Linked DNA regions of Drosophila melanogaster. The protein of the gene in region 1 interacts with the protein of each later gene in a pairwise test. Each region holds a gene or a part of one and is shown on either strand. Other genes may lie near its edges.

What was found. The genes of interacting proteins can lie anywhere in the genome.
Region 2: the proteins of CG5850 (region 1) and mgl interact in a two-hybrid assay, tested with the Drosophila melanogaster proteins (one large-scale study listed by BioGRID).
Region 3: the proteins of CG5850 (region 1) and CG6337 interact in a two-hybrid assay, tested with the Drosophila melanogaster proteins (one large-scale study listed by BioGRID).

What each region holds. Positions count from the first base shown.
Region 1 is NT_033779.5:9,959,764-9,966,067, reverse strand, and holds CG5850 (uncharacterized protein), read left to right. Parts: upstream 1-2,312; 5' UTR 2,313-2,675; coding exon 2,676-2,975; intron 2,976-3,055; coding exon 3,056-3,333; intron 3,334-3,390; coding exon 3,391-3,597; intron 3,598-3,653; coding exon 3,654-3,750; intron 3,751-3,963; exon of another isoform or gene 3,964-4,008; coding exon 4,009-4,713; coding exon of another isoform or gene 4,714-5,064; 3' UTR 5,065-5,618; downstream 5,619-6,304. Other genes in the region: Dref (DNA replication-related element factor), read left to right, coding at 1-308, 400-692, 753-1,140, 1,201-1,523.
Region 2 is NC_004354.4:9,496,900-9,502,231, reverse strand, and holds the start of mgl (megalin), read left to right. Parts: upstream 1-2,102; 5' UTR 2,103-2,358; intron 2,359-5,332.
Region 3 is NT_033778.4:13,832,845-13,837,372, forward strand, and holds CG6337 (uncharacterized protein), read right to left. Parts: upstream 2,253-4,528; 5' UTR 2,219-2,252; coding exon 2,123-2,218; intron 2,003-2,122; coding exon 1,076-2,002; 3' UTR 731-1,075; downstream 1-730.

The DNA.
Region 1 (6,304 bases):
TGAGATGCACGCCTCCAAGTTTCTGGAGATTGGCGAAATCACGCGCGATTTCACCTCCGAGAAGCCCTTCTCTCTCGCCTTTGAGATGTGGGTGAATGTTGAACAGCGGCGCTTCCTTAGCATCTTCCATCACTTTCTGGACGAGGAGACGCACTCAGTTCGCGGTATGCTGTATGCCACCGTGGAGTACAACGACTACATCGTCTTTGACGATCTGCTGACCGACTTCTATTTGGCCAATTGCACACTGGCCATCATAAACTACGACGAGGAAGAGGACCTTTTGCACACCTATCTGCGAGAGAAAAGTGAGTGCATTAGCAAGTCAGAATTATTTACCTTATATAGAATATATATCAAATATTGGACTTCCTAATGAATATGAATCTTTTATTGCAGATATACCCATTTCGCTGTGCTACGTTTCGGTAATTGACAAATGTTTGCGTCGTGTGTTTGAGATCGAAGAGGTGGCCACTTTATTGGAGCAGGTGAAGGACCTAATGCAGCGTCATTCAACGGAGATTGCCTCCAAGGTGTCCGAGGTGCCCATGCCCACGTACAACGAGCACTTCCCCTGGACACTGTACGAAACATTGAAGTTCTTTGCCGAGTCCATATCTTGGTCCGAGGACATGGATCACCTGGTTATATCAGCCAAGACGGTGACGGAGGCCCTGAGTGCTCTGGTGGTAAGCCATCAAGCTAAATGAGACGTTTAAGCAGTTTTCTTATTGTGTGAAATCTTTTAGATTGCTTTGGACACGCTGCGTGGCGAAGACATTCCCTTGTGTAGCATGCTTTCGCCAATCACTTCAAAGATTCTTATCAAGAAGTTGGGCATCGCCGAGCAGGACGATCCCCTAATGATGAATTTGAAGCGGACCATTTCCAGTGTCCTCCAGGCGCACGTTATATCCAATGACAATCTGACCGCTGCTGCATTGTTGGACCCACGCTTCCACCGCCTGACCACCATTGACAACCTAGAGCGAACCGTTCGTATGCTGACCCATAAGTATAACATTAACTTTGGTGGAGTGGGCGAAGGGGAATCCAACGAAGTGGCAGCTACCTCCAGCGTGGTGGCCATTAAGTCAGAACCAAGAGTAGTGGACGGCAGTGCACCAAAGAAGTTGGGTAAGTGCATCGAACTAAATCGATTATCATAAACCATGGACTAAACGAAAATGCCCGTAGGTCTGAAACTGCTGTTTGACAGTAACGAGATACCAAATCCTCCGAAGCGAGATGCGGACAGCAGCGTGGAGTCCGATCTTAAGCGATATCGCAACGAGGTGGTCGTTCAGCTGGATGAGTCGCCCATCGAGTGGTGGCTCAAGATGGGACACATTTATGGAACGCTCCGCGATTTGGCCAGCCTGTACCATAGTGTGCCCGGCGTGGTGACGCTCAGCTTCAAGAAGGCGCTGAGAGACCAAATATACGACTTCAACAAGCGATTCATGCTCACCGGTAGTCACATCGACGCCATCCTCTTTCTTCATCATCACAACAATTAGTCTGCACTGGCGACTACTGTTTCTTATAATGCAAATACTTTTTAATTACTTTTAACGTAATCCGATCTTGTGTATATGAAAATGACTACCAGGGGCGAGGCAAATAGTAATAGCGATTCCGCAGTACTTTTAACCAAAAGACAGCCTTGGGACGTACACGGAACATCTTAAGTTATCGACGTATAAATGTTAAGGGAACATTTTGACATCATATATTCAAATCAAACAGATAATCTAAGAATATTTGTTTAATAAATCCATAACGAAAAAATATCACGCTTATCAAGCTCACTTGTAAATCCCCTTATATCCATTTCAAGAGAACTAATTAAATACTTAACTTAGTTGTACATAATTGATATTTTAATCTTATAAATAAATAAAATGCATCTAACTTTCGTGAATTGTTTTATTGAACTAACTAAAATTAGATATTTTACAATTAATTCAGTATTAAAAAAATTTCTGAACTACGAAACAATTAGTAGTCGGTTTGGAGTTAGCTACTTTATATATTTGACATATTTCTTTAATTTTCAAAATATGTTTTATTTTTTTACTCTGCAGCCCTCGAAATTTCCCTTTTTTAAATCATCGGAAAATTTTCATATTTTTCGTCTGCGACAAACAAAATCTAAATAATCTTCGACATTTGTTTTTTAATTAAGTTAATTTTTTTACTGATAGCTTTTAAACTTTAAAATAAAACAAATAGTAAAAATTTTAAATAATATAAAACCGGGAGGAAGTCTGTATTTTAGTCATTTCGGATTTCGCATTGGCTGGTCACACCAATTAGACGTAGGCACCCGACCCACGAACTGGATTCCTCACAAAAGAAGGGCACGAAAGCCGCGATATTACTGCCAATAGGACTGAAACCAATAGATCGAAGAACTTGCTCTGCCAGCAGGAGATCTCTGAAAATGCGCCTCCAGCGTGGGTGCCACCGCCGTGTCCTGTAATCTGCTGTGAGAGAATTTCTGGCGGAGAAGAGCGGATCGGAGCGGAAGAAAGCGGAAACCCAAGTGAAAACAGAATCGGGGCGGCGGCGTCGACGTCAACGAATCAACGATATCAACCCGGATATTAGGTACTCCGGTGAACAGCACATTTCAAGGAGCATTCCCAAGGAGTGCACCAGAGGCAAAGATGTGCAGCTTGGACGTAAGACGCTTCTTCGAGGAGTGGCGCATCTGGATACGCCCGCTGCTCATTATCACCTATGTCATCTTCGCCATCATCGTGGTCCCGCTGCTCATTGTGAACTCCGTGAAGGATGGCTTCCAGCGCAATGACCAGCTCATTCTCATCGGCGGTCTGTTTGTGTTGTCCGCAGTGCCCGTGTCCATTTGGCATATCATCCAACACGTCATTCATTTTACCAAGCCCATACTGCAGAAGCACATAATCCGCATATTGTGGATGGTGCCTATCTACGCCTTGAACGCGGTAAGTGGGCCACCGATGTGAGCTTCGATATTGCGGAATTGGAGACCACAAGAAACCTAATACTCTCTATTCACTTGCAGTGGATCGGCCTTTTCTTTCCGAAGCACTCCATCTACGTGGACTCACTGCGCGAGTGCTACGAGGCGTACGTTATCTACAACTTCATGGTGTACCTGCTCAACTACTTGAATCTCGGTATGGACCTAGAGGCCACAATGGAGTACAAGCCGCAGGTGCCTCACTTCTTTCCGCTCTGCTGCATGCGGCCGTGGGTGATGGGTCGTGAATTCATCCACAACTGCAAGCACGGCATCCTCCAGTACACGGTCGTGCGCCCCATTACCACCTTTATCTCTGTGTGAGTGTCGGGATGTGCTTTTCCGTTTAACAGTCAACTCTAATCGGAATTTCGTAGCATCTGCGAGCTATGCGGCGTTTACGGCGAGGGCGAGTTTGCGGGCAACGTGGCCTTCCCCTATATTGTGGTGGTCAACAATATATCCCAGTTCGTGGCCATGTATTGCCTGGTGCTATTTTACCGTGCAAACAAGGAGGATCTCAAACCAATGAAGCCTATTCCCAAATTCCTGTGCATCAAGGCTGTGGTGTTTTTCTCGTTTTTGTAAGTACCACATGAAAGCATTTAAGATTGGTTAAGAATATTTTACTCCACCGTAGCCAAGGAGTGCTACTCAACGTACTGGTATACTATAATATTATTAAGGACATCTTTGGGTCGGATGTGGGAGACACCAATCTGGCTTCCCTGCTTCAGGTGAGTGACCTATTTAAAAGCCGAATGGATCTGGCAATAAGTTATTTCTATAAGTAAAGAGCTAATATGTAAATTAAGCATGATTTTTTCATACCAACCTTATCTTATAACCGAAAACAGTCCCAAGTTCGTTTAATACTGATGACTAAGAGTTTTTATCAAGCATAACTTCCAAATTTGCAAACACAACAAATGAAACCGAAGTGAAAGTTTCCAAAAACCAATTCAAATATGTATGTATTTGTTATCGCCAACCAGAATTTCCTCATCTGCATCGAAATGTTTATCGCGGCCGTGGCTCACATCTACAGCTTCCCGCACCATCCGTTTCACATCAACTCGCCGCAGTACTGGAACAACCCGAACCATAGCTGGTGTCGCGCCTTCCTCTCCATGATGGACATATCCGACATGCAGGAGGATGTCACCGAGCATCTGGGCGTCGTGGGCAGTTCACTGAGTCGTCGCTTCCAGGGACGCAGCACATACCAGCCGCTGGCGCGCAGTCCTCGCCGCTCCAGCAGTGAGTCCGAGTATCTGATCAGCAAGCGGCAAGATCAGCAGCTGCCGGGCAACTCGTCACAATCAGGTAACATGTATGGTGCAACGTCCAGTCGCCTGATCGTGCCTGTGTATGATGGCAAGCTGAATACACTGCCCGAAAGTCAATCTACTCACTCCCAATCTCGATTTCCTTTAGCAGGCGTGGCCGACGATGGGAACAGTAGCAATAGCAACTACCAACAACAACAACTACACTTGCCGGGAGCGGCAGGCTCTCAGCCGTCGACCCGTCAACGCGACACACTGCATCTTCGCGAGCGCGAAAGGGATCCGGGTGCGGGTGCTGGCGGCGGTGGCAGTTTCCTGCGCCTGCCCCCTGGTGCCGCGTCGGCAGCGGCGCCAATTCCCGAGTCCAACGATGATTATGCCCTGCTGTTGGGTGCGGGCGCAGGCAGGTGACACCGCTACCAACAATATCACTACCAGCAACATCAGCACCCGCACATTGACGACGCTTTCGAGGACGAAGATGGCGTGGACGTGAGCCAGCAGTTGAATGCCTCGTCACTCAGCGCCTCGCTATCCGTATCGTTTGGCATGTCAAGCAGCCTCAAGTTTAGTGCCACTGGCAGCAATCAGTCGGCGTCCGAGTGGTCGAACTCAACGGGCGGGGATAATGACGCTGACGACGGTGACTTGGACGTGGACGGAGAGGATGGAGACGCTGAAGATGACGGTGCTGGTGTGCAACCCGTGGTCTTTATTGCCTCCACGACGCGGCGACGCCGCGATCGAGAGTACATCACCTAGACGCGCTGACCTTAAAGCCCCTTATCAGTTATATGCTATGCTTATATTTATTGTTTTTCCCCATCCCATATCTTGATTTGTGCTAGGCTTAGAATACTCATGAAACGAACACTTTCTAGCGGCCCATCAAATGGGGCATTTGAATTGTGGCCTTAGTTTTCATAGCGAAAGCAACTTATTTTAGATCGCCATTCACTGTAATCGCTGCTCCTGATAGCGCGCACAAGTGAATCCACACATCCCTTAGCATCCCAAAGAATCATCATTGAATATAGGGGTCAGATATTTTGTAAGTACTTTTTATGTGCTGATTGTTTGTGAACAGACCTTCCCGAAACGATATTTTTACTCTATACATCCCTGCTAGGTGACCCCGCATAGTTATGTAGGTCTCCAACTTTTTGTGTGGCGAAGTAGTTAATTAAAAAAAAACATGCCTGAACCGATTGTGAATTTTGTGACTGCCGCCGGTCAGAAAAGGGCGTGACTTGTATTTAAATAGAAATTCTTATTGTAAAACTAATATACACATCAATAATATAATATTGGAAAATAATCGAAACCGCCTTTTATGTTTTAATCTCGTACAATTCGTGATTATTTTCATTTGCTACTGCACCCATTTGTGTACTAACATTGTGCATATCATTCCAATTTTCGACACTAATGCTTTTGTTTATGTATTTGTTGCTTTTGTTAATATGTGATAAGAAATTTGAATTTTGTTGGTCATTTAAAATCCCCTAACATTGTTTTAGGATCATCTAGTTGGGTGACATGAGATAAAATAATGATGAGAACTACATTCCACGCTTGCAAGTAGAGAATACGACTTCATTTCATTTGTAACATTTATTGAAATATTTGTTTAAGCACTTCGAATCCTATGTCTTTTCATAATACTTGCTTTTTTACATTTTTGAACAAAGATACGGAACATAACAGAAGACCTAAAGGAAAAAGTTGACGAAAACGAAGACAATGTGTGACATATACATGGATACACAAGTAGACCGAAGTACATTTAAAGGCATTCACGGAATTCTCGTTACGAACATACATAAATCAAATCGAGTACTAAACACTGATAATAGAAAGAAAAACAAGTAAACCGAATATCAATCAACATCAATTAAAAACAAATTCAGTCCAGTGATTACTTCTCGTGCTGCGAGTGCATAACTATAGCAAATCCCAGTAAATTTCAATGTGGCATGCCCCTCATTTCGAATGGCATTCC
Region 2 (5,332 bases), on another chromosome or scaffold:
GTTACATATCCGGAACAATAGTTAAACCAATTTCGAGATTAACAACACGATTAGTACGTATAGTTAATATCTACGTGGTTTCTGATTATTCAATAAATAACTTAGGAAATGTTATGGTTGGTGGGGAATTTCTTGAAATAAAAACTTTATTATTTTTGATATAATATTTAAACATATTTTGATGTATTGGCTTAAGTTAATAAGTTCGCATATAATTTGTGTAAGCCAGTCATTTATTTGAATTGCGATCAAGTGTGCAACCTTGGCGCACTGCCCCCCACTCGAGAACATGCTCTACGGCTGTTTAAACTTTGGAGATGGTTAATAAATTTATTTTGTTTATTTTCGGCCGGGTCACGCTTTCCCCAAATGACCCTCGTCATAAAACGCGCGAGAATCTCTGGGTAAATATAAATATAAGAATTGCACGCTTTGGTTTTTGTGCATGAAAAGTTTACTTCGCATTTCGGTTTCGGCCAATTGTTTTTCTTGGCCCTATCACCTTTCACTGCGAAATATGTCTAAACGAGAATGTTTTGTGAATCCATTAAGACGCAATAGAGAATTTTCCTATAGCTCGTAGAGCGTTCGGTGATGTCTCCGCAGCACTGGATTGGAAATGTATATATCTTTCTACTTGGCCACCTGATAGGCGAAACAGCTTTTCCCCTTCGAAAATCTCAAATTGTTCAATTCCGCTTCCAAGAATGCGGAACGGCCAGCAGGCGGTCAGGCAAAAGTTTTTAGGAGCCGAAACAGCTGTTCATTTGGCTGGTGACTGACTTGCTCTGCAATTAAAGCGATTTTTTTCGCGGAAGAAGGCCCTATTCGAATAGTTTGGATACACTCGAATTCTTGGGAGTAAATATTGAAGAACTTCTTCAAAATTCTCCTGCTCAGTTCTAAAACCAAAACAATGGGATTTACTTAGGTTCCGTTTCATATGTGTGTGAGTGTAAGCTTGTACTTGAGAACAAGTGCGTTTATTTTTAGCCGAGTATTGAATTAATTTTCGTACGGACTTGTAAAGGAGCTTACATTATTTTCGTAGAGCAACCTGGCAACCTGTTGAAGGGGCTTGCAACTCGAACCGCGTTCGCTGCCAGCATCGAGCACGTTGCACGTGGCAAGCAGCAATTGTGTGTTTACTCAATATTCTCGGCGTGCCGCAGATTGTGCCTTCCAGAAAGCAAAATAAACAAATAAAAGTTCCATGAAAAGGTATCATTTGTCAAGCGACAGCCGACAAATGAATACACATATGCATGTATGTATGTATGTATGTATGTCCTATGTACCCAACGACTTAGCGGCTTAAGTAGCTGCTCTAAATAATAAATTCAATTGTAATCAGAATCGTTTATGTAAATATTCAAATCGTCAATTTACCCGGACAGAGAGTGAGATAGAGAGAGTGTAAGAGTGTGACGTGGGGGGGGGGGGGGGTGGAATTGTCCTCCAATAATCCGCGAGGCAAGCAAAAGTCTGGGAGGGGGGGGGGTGGCAGGTGTAGATAAGCACCCCATTAAGACAACAATAAGCTCAACAAGTTGTTCTGGAAAACTGTCAATTAGAACCACCAACACGCACTGTGGCAGCAACAATTGTTCGAATGAAAACACAACATGCTGCATGTTGCACGCTCGAACATAGCCTTGCCATGGAATCGATGTTGCATCAGAGGTGTAGATGGGGGCTATTAGGAATTGCAGCGTAACTAAATAGTATTAGAACTTAAACGCAGAGCAGAGAACAAAGAAATGTGCACTCCGAAGCTGCGGAGTTCTCAAATAAAATGAAGCTAGCATTTTAGTAGAACTATTACTTGCTATTAAGTATGTACAATAATCTCAATAATAAGAACTAAATAATAATAATGAATTGGTTTGATGATGAAGCAAGCTCCTTGGGCAGTCATGAGCATACCAATGCAATTCTTTCGCTCTCGAAAGCGGCGCCTCTGTTTGAAGTCGCACTGCCTGTGAGTAGCGGCTGCAACGCAACATGTTCGATGGTTCGATGGTTCGAAGGTTCGATGCCTTCGGTTTTGGTTGGGCGGCGAGTGGGCTGCGCTAGCATCCGCTGGTCAGTCGCTCGCGGAGCGTCGTCGTGAACGGTCAGCCAGCGCGGCTAATAAGTAACCAACTGTAGTGACAGTGCGATAGTGACTCTGATCCGAACCCGAATCCCAGGCCCACAACAGATACGTCCAGCGTGTGGGCAGCCAGAACAGAGTGACAAGAATATCGGAGCCGACAACAACAGTAAACTGAAAGATAGAAAGAAAGAAAGAAAGGCCAACCTGCCGATTAAATTCCAATTGAGTGTTACGAGTTTTTTTTTCGAGTGAGTGCGGCGGTAAATATTTCGATCTTCTTCCCTTTTTTTTTTTTTTGCTGTGCCACCAACAGAAACCGAAAAATGCAAAAATTAAAAACCAATCAGTGAAAATCGCCAAAATTGCCAAAATATCAAATAGAAAAATATGGAAAATAGTTGAATCGAAGAAACGCAGACCGCAAAAATTTATAGAAAGAAAACAAACACACAACACACACACAAAGAAAAAACAAAAGGGGCAGACAGAAAGAAAGCGCTTTTATTATTTTATTTAACGATTTTTCTTCTTGCAATTTTTATTTTGCACACTTTGTTGTTGGGTCAGTCAGTTGGCGGCTTTCGCCACTTTACGAGCAACTTCCTTTTTTGGCCGGAGAAAAACCAGTCTGGCCAAGAGACCAAAAGACCCCTGGCCAAAAGACGTCGGTCGGTGGGCACCAAACACTGCGAATGTAAACAAAACAGCAGCAAACCGTATTTGTTTATGACTCGGCTTGGCCAGGATAAAGCCCAGAGACTTTGAGACCAACTAAATCCCACACCCCCAACCGCCAATCCCGCCCTCACCAAAAATATGATTTGCTAGCATTTCCCCCCATTCCCCGGCCGAGATTCTCAAGTGCGAGAGTTGCAAAAAAAAATGTGGTCCCCCCTCCCCCCTTTTATTGCCGCACCGCGTTGAAACGACACCCGGTGAAAGTTTCCCAGTCGCAACTTAGAACTCTCTTCATTTTCGGGTTTCTTTATTTTTTGCTTGATAAATGAGTCGCTGGCATAGCCCCCGGGGCGGTAAATCATCTCTGCTTGTGGCACTGACAATTTCACAAATTTATATATTTGCCACAACAACCGACCGAAACACTCACAGTCGAAAGTTTTCCACTTCGAGTGCAAATTTGACTGGCTTGGAAAAGTCCAGGCGAGCAAATTGGCCAGAGGTGTTGCCAACGAAAAAAAAAAAAAAAAATGAATTGGTAACGAAAACAATTGACGAAATCGGAAGTGACAGCATGATAGTTCAAGTTCAAACACGCATAATAACTTCATTGAAAACTGTAAACTTGAGAGTAAACAATAGTTTTCAAAGATTTCACGAAGTGTCTTCAGTTCAGCATATTAAATATACCCAAATACGGTTTCAAATTGACATAGATTAGTAATTTAACATAGGAACAGTTAAAAAAGTTAACCAGCTGGTGTGATAATATCTATGAAATTGTTGGTTTCTGGAACTTGAGAGATTCGCAAGTTCTAGCAAGCAGCGGTTGTTAATGCATATGAATACGAGACATCGAGCAATTTCGAAGATATTCCACGCCAGTTATCGCCCCCCCCGCCAGTAACTGGAGGCCAGCTCTAGCTCCCATTTTTAACTGGTTACCCCGCTCGAGAATTCACCATGTCGGCTCTCGGTTTTTTCCTTCGCTTTTCGCTTACTCCACACAACACAAATCGAATTGAATGGCAATCTGGAATATGCCAGGCAGATCCAATTGCATGCCACATATGCAGATGTAATGGGAGAGTTGGCCCACTCGCCACCCCCTTGTAAGCCCCCATCGAAACACCAACACACCCCCCCCCCCCCGGCCGCTTACAAAAATTAAGCCCCCTTAGCCGCCCCGCCAACTGTACCGCTGATCTGCTTGCCTCATTGCCGGTTAGAAAGCCAATGGAACGAGTTTCGTTGAGTGTGCAACTAATTTTCTAAATTGTTGTCGCTGCTGATCGTTGAGCGTGGCAAAAAAAAAGTAAATAAATAAAAAATACACACATTATTTATATGGCCAACGTCGCACAAAGAAATTATCTGTCACCAACATTGGTCATCAATTTTGATGGGTTTTCGGCGTCTAGAATAAGCCCTTTTATCACTGACGTTTTAATCAGATCTCTTCTTCAGAAGTATACAAAATCACGGTATGATCTTGCTTGAAGATGATTTCATTTTGCTAAAACGTGTTTTAATTCACTTTTAAATCATGAATCATAAATATAGGTATTTATGTGACTATTTTATATAGGGTAATACGATAATACAGAATCGTATATACGTACGTACTTTTGTAAAATAAAAAAAATTTAAAAACGGAATAATAAAATGTATATTTATGGAAATTTTTGAACGATGGCATATTTAAATAGATAAATAATTATGAGAGTGTGGGTGATAAGGCAAAGATTTTAGATTCAAAACCATCCATTCATCATTGCGAAGATCGAACTGTCATTTTTGCGATTGATTGATTGAATTTTAATAAAAGTCTTTGAAGTCGGACTTATTTATTATTTTTTTTTTTTATTGGGTTTTTCTTCTCTTGCGAGTGCGTCGTCATCATTTAATGGTGAAGATAGAAGAAGAATTATCCGAGCCCATAGAAGGCGAAGAAGAGGAAGAAGACAGGGCTAAAGAGACAGAGCGAGAAAGAGAGTAGGAGAAAGGGAGAGAGGGATAGAGAAATGTTAATGGATTAGGAAGCGAGCTCAAAAGGCAGCGTAGAAGAAGAATCGAATCTCGGCTACTTGCGACATTAGCCCTCTCCCTCCCACTCCCGCCCGATGAAGGCGGGCGCGAAAGAGAGGGGACGAGAGGGAGAGCGAGAGCGGAATTGAATGGCCAAAGGAAAGGTGAAAAGAGGCAACTTGGCTTAGACGATGATGATGACTGTTTCTTCTGTTTGTGTACGTATGTGTGTGTGTGTGTGCGGACAAACAGGTATCACGCACACACCTACAGACACACTCACACCTGTGCGGAATAACTAAGCAGCGACCCGATTTTCAACAGAGAGCCAGTGAGAGAGATAAGAAGAGAAGAAACAGAGCCAAGAATCCGATCCATGCCATGCGCCTAAAACTATTACAAATCTATAACAAATCTACCACGAATCTACAAACCACAAGAGATCTTTTCACAGATCAATTTTATTGGGATTATTCAAAAATTTCCAGTTTCTGTAGTGGGGTGATTAAAGGAACCTGCATATATGTT
Region 3 (4,528 bases), on another chromosome or scaffold:
TCGTTAAATCACCTTTCAGCGTGAATCATATCATTGAGCTTTGCTTCACAAGAAGACGGGAAGACATTCTAAACCAAAAATAAAAACTAAAAACTAAAAACCTAAACTAAAACAAAACAAAATGCAAACACAACGTACATACATATATTTCAAATTATTTAACGCAATTGAAATATAATAACGAGAAGTATTTATAATAACAACGTTTCCAAACAAGTTACTGAAACTTAAAAAATTTACGAGAACTAAGATTAAGAAATCTACAGAAAGAACACACACCAAAAAAAAGAAGCTTTTGTCTGCGCTGGCTGAGTCGAATATTCTATAACCATAAATATAATACCTAAATATTATATATATCTATATAATTTCCTTTCGTTTTTATATCACAGCAACACGGATAGCAACAAAATGGGAAACTTATTTATTATGCAAGAGAAACATAACAGAAAAAGAAAACACTGCAAAGATAATAGTATAAAATCCATAAGCAGATCAAAGATGCGAAAAACAAGAAAAGAAAAGAAAATAAAGTGAACTTGTTAATTTTTAGCATTTAAGTCTGTAAAGCTCCGCTTGTAGATGAAAAATCAATAAATAAACTAAATAAAATGGTAAATTCAATAAATGGAGACAAAAAAGCTGTAAGCTTTCACAACAAAAAACCAAACGATACTTTTTGGTAGAAGACGGGGGATTTTTTTTCAAGATTACTCTTTATGTAATATTCAAGATCTCGATGAATTATCTTAGCTTTATTTGAGATATTCCCAAATCTATTTCTTGGATGGTTCTATTACTATTCTTCTATTCTATGAACTATCATAGATATAGATAGGCACACTCTTAAGGTATCATCATAGTGTTATTATAGATATTCCCGAATCTGTTACTCGAATTCTAGTTGATTTAAAGATAATGCGTCTATAATAATAATAATAGTATTGCTTACTAGCATTAAGTTTTTTTAAAGAACTTACAGCATCTACTGAATCCGAAACAAAATCATCATATAAAAATTTACACATAAAACTTAAGTTTATTAACTTGAAATAAGGTCAAATCGGAATCCTTCTTAGGCAAGCGCACTGGGAAAGACGGCATTCTTGGCAATGGGCTGATTGGACCTGCGCACGATCCTGATGTAACCCTCCTCGCCCCACGTGTCGCCGAAGGAGTTCAGGCAGCGCCAGTAGTCCAGATTGGAGTCCACGTCGTGATCGTAGCCCACGACCACCAGGAACTGTGAGCTCTTTGGATTGGTCAGGGCACGCGTCTCCTGGACATAGACGCCACTGGAGTACTGCATGAATCCAAAGGTAGCCGGATTGTACTCGACTATGACGGGGAATCCATTCGATACGTAACGCATTACGGCGGCATCATCGTTGTCGGCCACCGTGGAATAGCCGGCCAACTTCACGCCCACTGACACAGAGGATGGGGGCTGGCACATACCCGGCGTTTTCAGGCTATTGTTATTCGGATAGTCCACCTCCGGATAGAGATACGCATCTGTCAGCTGGGTGAGATAGTTGAGGGCAGCCAGGGGCGTCTGGGTGCTGCATCCGGTGCCCATGCCCGCACAGTCCAGCAGCTGCTGGGCGGACAAGGACGAGGGCAGAGGATTGGCTGTCTGCACGGCATTCATGATCTCCACGGCCTTGGCGGTGGCATAGGCCCAACTACTGCTGCAGTTCACGCCCTGATCCTCCACCGCCACGGTGAGTCCGAAATCCGTGATAATGTCAAAGCTGGCAGATGCCGCTTGACTGGCCGGTGGATCACTGGCCGCCGAGGTCACCGTATTCACGGCTTTGGGCAGCAGGGCTGCGAACTGGATGAGCCGGATGTCCGAGAACTGATTCACTGCCTCGCGGTAGGTGGTGCGATTCCTATCGGCCTGGGCATTGTGCTGCGCCACCTGGTTGCGGTTGTAGATGAAGTAGTAGTTGGCGAAGTTGCGAGCCGAAGTTGAGGCATAGGTCTTGTTGAAATTGTCCTGTAAATGGAAAGATTTGAATTCCATTACTCAATACAATCCTTTTCAATGCCATAAGATACAAGATATAATTTCTAATTAAATCCCATCCAGACTTTGTTTTCTTGATGACTCACATACCTCGTAAGTTTGAAAGTCCACTAGATCCTGGCCATGATTAAAGGCCCATCCACTGTCGATGGTTAGTAGAAGGCAGCAAAGTAGCAACTTGAACATGACGAAAACCCAAATCCGCACCAACTAATGCCGCCAGAACCATGGAACGATCTTTTATAGGCACCGGCAAACTCTCCTTCTGATTGCAAACGCAAATAGAAGTTTACCAAAGCGACTTACTTTCGCAAGAAAAGTGCAAATACTCGTAGATTTCTACGAGGCCTTGAATTCGCACTTGGCCAGCAGCACTCAAACGTACTATCCGTAGTATTCATATTCCGGGTTGGGTCTCCTCGATAAGCCGACGTTGGTAGGAAAAGTCGGGGTGCGCTTTGTTTGCCCAATAAACTTGTCAAATGCCCCGTTTCGTATCGTTGCGATTCGGCGGTGGGTTCTCGTATCTCTGTTAATTCGAAATCCCCACTGGCCCAGTTCAGAAAAAAACACCCAAGCCCATATGCCCATGGAGCATCGTAAACGCCCCTCTAATGCCAACTTATCGTTTAGTCTTCAGGTTTTGTCTTCAGCGCAGGCATGATTAATCACAGTCATACTTTGTGGCGCCCATAAAAGTTGCAACAGCGTTGATAGATAGATACGTAGATGGAAAGATACATAGACAGATAGATAGATAGGCCCGTTGGAAGACTTGGCCAAATTGCTGTAAACCAAGTGCTAAGTGAGTTGTTTGGTAATTTCCATTGCGGTAGTCTAGCATATACTACAGGTAGTATATATTCGAAGTAGTAATGAGGGATCATCTTGAAATTTTGCAAATATGTAGGTAAGTCCATAAGGGATTTCAGCAGTCAATGAACTTTTTAGTAGACGCAACAACAAATTCAGATTCCACGAATCTGTTAATTGAAATGCAAATAAATTGGCCACTAATCAATCTCTTCATGGTTCAATTTCAATTTATAGTTATTGAAAGTCGAGACCATTATTCATCCGTCTGCATCTTTATCATTCTGTAATTGTATTATTTACATAAAAATCAAAGTGTTATTTATTTACAAGGGATATAATAGTACAAACTACTTAGAGACGCTTTAAAAACTTTCCTAAAACTTTGCTTGCTGCATTGAAATTTGTAATCCTATAGGCGCTACAACTGTGACTTCGATCTCATCAATTATTAACTATTTAAAAACATGTTTGACTATTTTCTCTTTTGTTTCAAATGAGTTAATATGCGTTGTTATAGCCACCAACACATTAGGCAATCGACAATTACTAAGCATGCATATAATGGAGACAGCTATAGACCCATAAACCAGATAGCCCGTCGAAATGAAGATGAATATGCTCTTGTCGGTATTCCAAAAGTTTCAAATTGGTGGCCCATCCAGTTTTGGCCATATGTCCCACGGTCCAGCTCCAGACTCTATAAAACCAAGGTGTGCGGGTCGAGCGCCGCTTATAATCTCGCCGGTCTTCGAGTCTTCAGCATCTTCGAATAGTTTTGTGATTTGTGAACGCGGAAGGTGTTTTGAACATATCATTCCCAGATATCCATAAAAGGTGATTAAGTCGATCTTTTCAACATATTGTGTCGTGTGTGTTGTTATTTTTCGATTCATAATGGTCCGTCGAAGACAAGAGAACTGCAATTGCTTACATTCGACTCGAAATTTGATTTTAAACAGGGGAATCCATCGCCTTTCACCGGGCACAGCATGTGATCAGTATTTTATGGCAACGAAAGTGAAATCTTAGCCTGCGGTTGCCTAATCTAGATTTGATTTTGATTTATTTGGGCCCTCGATGGAGCCAATTTGGGAGCTGAGGAAATAAAAGGAGAGACGAAGCCGCGAAATCATTCATACATTTCGAAATTCATCCGAATCGAATGCTTGCACTAATGTAATTATGCTAAGCATATGCAAATTAGCTCATTCACCCAGTAATTATTCACGTCTCATCGGTGATCGAATTCGTAAAACAGACCGGAAATACGAACAGCGAATGCTCTGCTAGTTTCAAAAGTCTATTTAATTTGGTAAGATCGAATAAAGTTGAGAAATTAAGACAGCGCATGATTAATTACCCATTAACGCGATTGCTGACAGAAGCGGATAGTCAGCGTGATAGAAAAAACCAATAATAATTAGTTTTTTATTCGTTTAATCGATCATTATGTTTTTGATTGTCTTAGAAACAATGTTGATTTCTGCATAGGCGATCATTAAACGGTTTAGTTTCTTCAAAACCAAGCTTGTTAAACAAACAATTTATTAGTTTCTTTGTTTTATTTTGGTTTTGCCAAACATTGTACTTACTCAAATTACTCAAAAAGACATAACATCATTTCTTATGTCAATGAAGACACTCCACTGAATATTTACCAATAAAAAGTATCTACTGGAT